Sus scrofa: one gene and its partner. The main gene of each other region encodes a partner of the protein of the gene in region 2 in a complex. Links are inferred from orthologs where the notes say so. Each region holds a gene or a part of one and is shown on either strand. Other genes may lie near its edges.

Region 1 (3,131 bases), on a different chromosome or scaffold from region 2:
GTAACTTCAGTAAATTTACTTCAGGCTGAAGCTTAAAGGTTATCACTTAACCAATCTACCATTATCAAATTTTTTTTAAACTGTGAAACAAAAAGTATGTTACTTTATGCTATCACATCATATTCTTTAAAAAAAAAAAACAAACACGCTATTTTCCTGTTTTTCCTCCTTTTGGTTTATTTCAAGCTTTCTTCATATTTGAACTTTATCACTAATCATTTGATACAAAGAGGGTTCCCTTTCTACAAACATTATACGTATAATAATAAAAGCCCTCAAGTGGGCTTCTAGACAGTGGGGTCAGAATTACACTCAGTTTACGCATGAGATCAACTCGATAAGGTCAAATGTCCGAATCCAGGCGTCAGAAGTAGTTTTTCCTATTCTAAATCCAACGCTAAGATTATATAGACGAGGCTGCTGAAAATTAAGAATGAGAAACTACTACTAATCACAGTAAAAGATATTTAAAAAGGAAAAGCATGGGAAGTCTTGAAAATACTGTAATTTTTAAGAAACGTGGATTGCTCCTGACGGCTCAAACACTCAAAAGACGGGCTTTAGAGGAAACCCAAACCCAGTAAACGCGCCGCACTGAACGGCAAATCCCACGGGAACCACTGGCCTCCCACGTGTCTCTCAGGAAATGCACAAAACGAAGGAAAAAGAAAGCCAAAGGGAGTTGGGTGAAAGGTTTAAAACAGCAGATAGGGATTCACAGGGAGATGGAGGGCACACGAAGCCTGGGGTGGGCAAGAGAGAACTCGCAGAGCATCTGGCAGGCGCCGAGGACGGAGAAGAGGCCTGGAAGCAAAGCAGGGGGAGGCTTTCATCTGGAGAGCGGGCGGCCAACGGGCCCCACCCAGTGGATCTGCTTCTCAGGTTCCAATGGGGGCGGAGGAGGAGAGCGCGCGGAAGAGAAAAGCAGAGAGGGGAGAAGACGCTAGAATAGCTACAGGTGGGCGCGGGTCAGAGCCCGGGCTGCGCGGGAGCAGGGCTGGCCCCACCTGGGAGCCTCCGAGCCGCCGTAGCCCCGCCCCTCCGCGCGTGGCGCCCCTGACGCTTGGCGCGCAGGCCGCTCTCCTTACAGAGGTCGCTCTTGTCCCGAACGGTCGGCCTCTGCTGCGCCTGCGTCGTCGGGAGGGGAAGTGAGGCGGTTTCCTCGGCGCCTTTTCCGGCGGCGGCGGCGGTAGAACTGGGAGGAGGCGGTGGAGGCCGGAGGGAGCCCGCGCTCTGGGCGGCGGCTGGAGGTAACCTCCTGGGCTGAGCTGGAAAGGCGGGCTCCTTCGGCCTCCGCTCTCTTCTGGGGCTCCCGCAGTAACTCCCTTTTTCCTCTCTGTGTTTCTGCAGGCAGCGCACCGAGTTCCCGCGAGGATCAATGACCCGACGGGGCGCCGGAGCCGCTCTGCTCTCGTGTGGCCTGGGTCAGTGGTGAGCGCGGTGCTCCGCGGACCGGAGGCCGGGCCGAAGGGCCGCAGTCTCCCGCGGCGGAGTGAGGTGAAGGCGGCCGAGCAGGAGCCGGCGGCGGCGCTTGTACGGCGCCTGCGGGGGGAAGGGCAGTTCCGGGCCGGGCCGCGCCTCAGCAGGGCGGCGGCTCTCCCAACGCAGACTCAGGCCGCGGCGACGGGAGGAATCAAGTTGTGTGGTCGGTGATGCCCGAGTGAGCTACGGGCCCGGGCCTCTGCCCTGAGGAGGCAACTCCCACGCAGGCCGCACGGGCCCCCTCGCGACTGGGAAGCTCCGTTTCGGTTTCGCGGCGGCGGCGGCGTTGTTGGAGGGGACCCGGGACACCTGAATGCCCCCGGCCCCGGTTCCTCCGAAGCGATGGGGAAGGTGCTATCTAAGATCTTCGGGAACAAGGAAATGCGAATCCTCATGTTGGGCCTGGACGCGGCCGGCAAGACAACCATCCTGTACAAGTTGAAGCTGGGCCAGTCGGTGACCACCATCCCCACCGTGGGTTTCAACGTGGAGACGGTGACTTACAAAAACGTCAAGTTCAACGTATGGGATGTGGGCGGCCAGGACAAGATCCGGCCGCTCTGGCGGCATTACTACACCGGGACCCAGGGTCTGATCTTCGTAGTGGACTGCGCCGACCGCGACCGCATAGACGAGGCCCGCCAGGAGCTACACCGCATTATCAATGACCGGGAGATGAGGGACGCCATAATCCTCATCTTCGCCAACAAGCAGGACCTGCCTGATGCCATGAAACCCCACGAGATCCAGGAGAAACTGGGCCTGACCCGGATTCGGGACAGGAACTGGTATGTGCAGCCCTCCTGTGCCACCTCGGGGGACGGACTCTATGAGGGGCTCACATGGTTAACCTCTAACTACAAATCCTAATGAGCATTCTCCACCCATCCCCCAGAAGGAGAGAAATCAAAAACCCATTCATAGGATTATCGCCACCATCACCTCTTTGAATTGCCACTTTCTCTTCTTTTGAATTTGAACTTTGGAGTTACAGTTCTACGGTTTGGGGGAGGGGGTTAGGGGGTTTCTTTTTTGTTTCTTTTCTTTTTCTTTCTTTCTTTTTTTTTTTTTGGCTTTGCGTTAGGATGCTCTGAGCTGACTTTTGACACGAACACAAAGTACTTAGATACTCTCGTTGACTTCCAGCAAATGGGATGGGGGAAATACAGCAGTTCTTGATAAATTCCTTTATAATAATGGTTTGATTTTTTTATTTCGAGAGAATCTTCTTTTCCAATGTATGCTTTTTTCCTTTTTGCCCAGTTTCCTTATCACTTGCTGTAGATGGCTTATTTTGCATTCATGCAGACTATGTTGCAAGTCTGTTTCATCTAGTAAACTGAAAATTATTGCTTAATCAAACTGCCGTTTGTCTTTTATATTTAAGGCCTTTTCCCCCTCCCTTATGAATTCCAACTTAGTAAATTCAAATGTGACCTTTTATATCTAAGACCAGTATAGTAAACTTAGCCCACAGGGGCAAATAATGAGTAATATCATTGTAATATGTTCCAGTTGCACATCAGTATGTTAAAACAGGTAATGTAAGTTCTTTGAAATGTCAGCTTTTAAGTTCTGAAACATACATCATGCATGAGTAAGGATAAAACTCAAGTTCCCCTTTACAGAGCTAACTTACAGTGCATAAA
Region 2 (4,348 bases):
AGTACACACTGACACATTGTTTTAAAGTATATGAACATATTTTCTAACCACCAGCTTGAACTTCCTAATGATATTCTTTTACTTGCTCAACAATAATGAACAAAACATTTTGTATGGCACATTTACAATTTGTAAAAATGGTAATTGCTTATAGTTGCTAAGAAAGAGGATGAATATCGTAATCTTTATTTGTTGCACAAAGAAATTAATGTACTGATAAGTATGTTCTTAACACCAGCCTTTTAATGGTTATTAGCTAAATAATGAGTAAATATTTCTTAAACGGAGGCATATGGGCAGGCTCTACTTTTCATTACTAATTTTAATTCTAGAAGCCAAATGGTAGTCAACAAGTGCAAATAAAAGTAAATTTAAACTTTCTCCATTGAATTAAAAGATGTTTTAAATTTAATCTTAAACAAAGGGAGAGGAGTTATCATCTTGGCTCAGTGGTAATGAATCAGACTAGTATCTGTGTAGATTCGGGTTCTATCCCCTGGCCTTGTTCAGTGGGCTAAGGCGTTGCCATGAGCTGTGGTGTAGATTGCAGACGCTGCTGAGATCCTGCCTAGCTGTGGCTATGATGTAAGCTGGCAGCTACAGCTCTGATTTGACCCCTAGCCTGGAAACTTTTATATGCTGCTAGTGCAGCCCTAAAAAGCAACAAAACAAAACAAAACAAAAACAGATAAAATAAAAAAACCAAAACAAACAAAAAAAAGTGAAAAGGGGGCTGTGCATCTGATAGTGATAGCAGAATCCATGCAACCTTACTAATAAATCAGTTTGAAATGCCTTTTCTTCCTTTTTGAAATTTTGTTGAATTGTCTGTCAGTCTAGTTTCTTTTCTTCCGTGCTCAACTTTTCCATGATGTTAAAGTTTTAGTCCTGTGAAAATGACCCATCAGAATGGTAAGGTTGTAAGCTAGTTTTTGAAATTTGAAAGTATAAGACAAATGACACCTTTATGTAGAGATAGGAATGTACAAGGCAATATTTTGATCAAAGAGAAAGTTGGAAGATAACTTTTAGGTTAACTTGACATTTAGGCTTGTTGGCTATCTGTCTAGCACCGATAGCAATCTTGCCTCCATCAGTAGTCTGAGCTCTTTGAGGGAGAGATGGTATTTTATTTATATTAGTTGTATTGGCCTTAGCTGGCTGACTGATAACATGATATGTCAAAGTAACTACTTACTGAACTTGTAATAAACTTGAAATAAACTCCGTATATTTCCTGAATTTCTTGGGTCCCTTGTTCTTCAGATAGAAAGCTAGAACGACTCACTAATAACACATCTTTCCCTTTTCTCCCTCTTCTTTTCCCTTTCCCTGTCTCTCTCCTTTTCCCTTTCCCTTTCCTTGTAGAGCATCAAGAGAAAATCCAGCCATGCAGGAAAAAAAAAGGTCAAGCATTTGGCAGTTGTAAGTATCTAAAAACACATAAAACATGAGCACTTTGATGCAAGAAGATGAGAATCAAAATTTATTTTTAAGAATGATTTTGTATTTTCATGCTTTCTTTCTTAAATTTAGAATTTATAGCTAAACTGAACTTTTTCTTTTTTATGGTATGTAGTATGCCAGCTCGGTAAGGCTGTTCTTGAGGACCAAAAAAAAAGCTGTCGTAAGCTGCATCATATTGATTATGCATTTGGTGGAACCTTCTGCTGAATTAATAAAAGAATGCAAAATTATTCTTAGAGTTGATAATTTCCTGGACCCCCATTAAATAAGTTATTGATTCACTGGTTATGTGATTGTAAGGAACTTTACAAAGTAAAGATTAGAAATTTAGTGTTTGTGGGGTTTGAATAGTGTGTGTGTGTATGTGTTTTGCATTTGAACGGTTTGCGCCAGAAGTATTGTGCATTTACTGTGCTTAAAACTTACCCCCCTTTTGATGAATCTGCTATTTAATTGAAAAAAAAATTTTTTTGAGTGGATGTGAAAATAGTTATTTAAATTGAGGTTACTAAGGGAATGTATAAGATGTGTGCTAAAATGGTAATATCTGTTCTATGACTGTTTTTAGAACTGGCTTGCTAAGCTTCTGTTCAAGCCATAACCTTGCTATTTAACAATCACTGGCTAAAGGAACCATTTCATTTTATTTCTTCCTTATGAGAATTTCCCTGTACTTAAGAAACATCTTGGAGTTCCCATCATGACACAGTGGAAACGAATCTGACTAGGAACCATGAGGTTGCAGGTTTGATCCCTGGCCTCGCTCAGTGGGTTAAGGATCCAGCGTTGCCACAAGCTGTGGTGTATGCGGCTTGGATCTGGTATTGCTGTGGCTTAGGCAGGCACCTGTAGCTCCAGTTCAGCCTCTAGCCTGGGAACCTCCATATGCTGCAGGTGTGGCCCTAAAAAGCAAAAAGCAAAAAAAAAAAAAAAAAAAAAAAAAACCCAAAAAATAAATAAATCTTCCTTTCATTATGAGAATTGCCAATTAAAGAACAAGGATCTGCCATTCTATGCAATAGTTTCTCTTTCCTGAATGTCTGAGTTTGGCTGTGAGTTACTGCTAAGGCTGCAGTGTGTGACTGCAAACTTTTTTTTTTTTTTTTTTGCTGGTTTCTAACTCATTGCCTCATGAAAGCTACTCTGGAATTTGTGGGAAATGGTGGTTTGTTTTTCATCACACTTACATACACACTTATTATAAACAAATCCTCTCTTACTTCTTTTTAGTTTCAGCCGACTTTTCAGCTCCTCAAGTAACACTACTAAGAAGCCTGAACCACCCGTTAATCTGAAATACAATGCACCCACATCTCATGTTACTCCTTCAGTCAAGAAAAGAAGCAGCACCTTATCTCAACTCCCTGGGGATAAGTCCAAAGCCTTTGATTTCCTTAGCGAAGAGTAAGTATTTTCCAGAGTAGTGGTTATGGCCTAAATCATTTTTATAGTAACAGTTCAGAGTATTTTTGCCTCTTATCAGATGAGTTATAAGGGTTTAGATAAAACTATAAACTATTCCTGTAACTTGACTACCTACGTTGCTCATAGTTTTCATAAAGAGAAGAAATTTTTTAAAAGCTCCTTTTTGCTGGTATGGTAACATTGATAAATATTAATAGGAATTTTGAAAGTTCATGTAAGCCTTTGTCCTAAATGTTTGAATTTCCTTTAGTGTTGAAGGAATTGACTTCCCATCCTGATCCTGCTACTCATTAGGTATATGAACTTGGGGATGTTAACCTCTCAGAGCCCCAGTCTCTCTGCCTATAAAACGAGTATGATAACCTATCTCAGATGTGTTAGGATTAAATAATATAGTGTCTCTAAAGTGTCTGACACAAAGATAATTTTTTCTTGTTATTTCTGCTGTTTTAGCAGGAGAAGGGAGATAAACTGTTAATTTGCTTAATTTAAAAAGGAAATTTCTTTTCCTTTTAGAACTGAAGCTAGTTTAGCTTCACGCAGAGAACAAAAGAGGGAACAGTATCGTCAGGTAAAGGCACATGTTCAGAAGGAAGATGGTAGAGTGCAGGCTTTTGGCTGGAGCCTGCCTCAGAAGTACAAACAGGTAGCGTATGACCATGGTAAGAGCATCTAGTGGGAAATGCCAGGGGACAGGCGTGTATGCCTGGGCACGAAGGACTCGAAATGTACATCCTAAACCTGCTCCTTTCAAGCTGCTTGGACTTGGCACATGGCTAGTGAAGTGTTGAGGGTAGGGGTTTTCAGGCTGTTTTCCAAAGCCCTACAGCTCAAAAGAAATGCCTCTGAGTCTATGAGTAGGGAGAGGGATCATTAAGAGATGGCTGTGTACATGAGACTCGGGGTGTGCTGCTCTATTTTTAATATTTGAAGATTTCATTTAAAAAACTATTTTAAATGTTTGAGGAAGCCATTGTCATGGAGCCTTTCAAACTGTTATTTAAAACTCACTTCAGGGAGTTCCCATCATGGCTCAGTGGTAACAAACCTGACTGGCATCCATGAGGACTTAGGTTTGATCCCTGGCCTCGCTCAGTGGGTTAAGGATCCAGCATTGCTGTGAACTATGGTGTAGGTCACAGATGAGGTTTGGATCCCATGTTGCTGCAGCTGTTAACTCTGATTCAACCCCTAGCCTGGGAACTTCCATGTGCCGCAGGTGTGGCCCTAAAAAGACAAAATAAATAAATAAATACATAAAGAAATACATAAATAAAATAAAACTCAATTTAGGAGTATCTGTGGTTCAGCAGATGAAGAATCCAGCATATTCACTGTTGGGGCGTGGGTTCAATCCCTGGTCTGGGAACTTCCACATGCCGTGAGCTCGGCCAAAAAAAAAAAAAAAAAAAAAAAAAGCCCACTCAATTCAGGTCTTCAGGAACCTTATTGTATT

What was found. Proteins that work in one complex are often made in the same cells at the same time.
Region 1: the proteins of SPAG9 (region 2) and ARF6 are in contact, whole or in part, in a crystal structure (PDB 2W83), measured with the Homo sapiens proteins. The link is inferred for Sus scrofa from reciprocal best matches to the Homo sapiens genes SPAG9 and ARF6. Residues at the interface, in NP_001124000.1 of Homo sapiens: Lys431, Asn432, Ile435, Val438, Asp439, Thr442, Cys443, Asp446, Val447, Gln449; in NP_001654.1 of Homo sapiens: Glu13, Arg15, Lys34, Phe47, Val49, Glu50, Thr51, Thr53, Lys58, Asn60, Trp62, His76, Tyr77, Thr79.

What each region holds. Positions count from the first base shown.
Region 1 is NC_010443.5:179,712,213-179,715,343, forward strand, and holds ARF6 (ADP-ribosylation factor 6), read left to right. Parts: upstream 1-1,824; coding exon 1,825-2,352; downstream 2,353-3,131. UniProt on the Homo sapiens protein: GTP-binding protein involved in protein trafficking that regulates endocytic recycling and cytoskeleton remodeling. GTP-bound form plays an important role in the transport of multiple palmitoylated proteins form the Golgi to the plasma membrane.
Region 2 is NC_010454.4:27,251,273-27,255,620, reverse strand, and holds part of SPAG9 (C-Jun-amino-terminal kinase-interacting protein 4), read left to right. Parts: intron 1-1,368; coding exon 1,369-1,425; intron 1,426-1,579; coding exon 1,580-1,591; intron 1,592-2,697; coding exon 2,698-2,871; intron 2,872-3,408; coding exon 3,409-3,538; intron 3,539-4,348. UniProt on the Homo sapiens protein: The JNK-interacting protein (JIP) group of scaffold proteins selectively mediates JNK signaling by aggregating specific components of the MAPK cascade to form a functional JNK signaling module.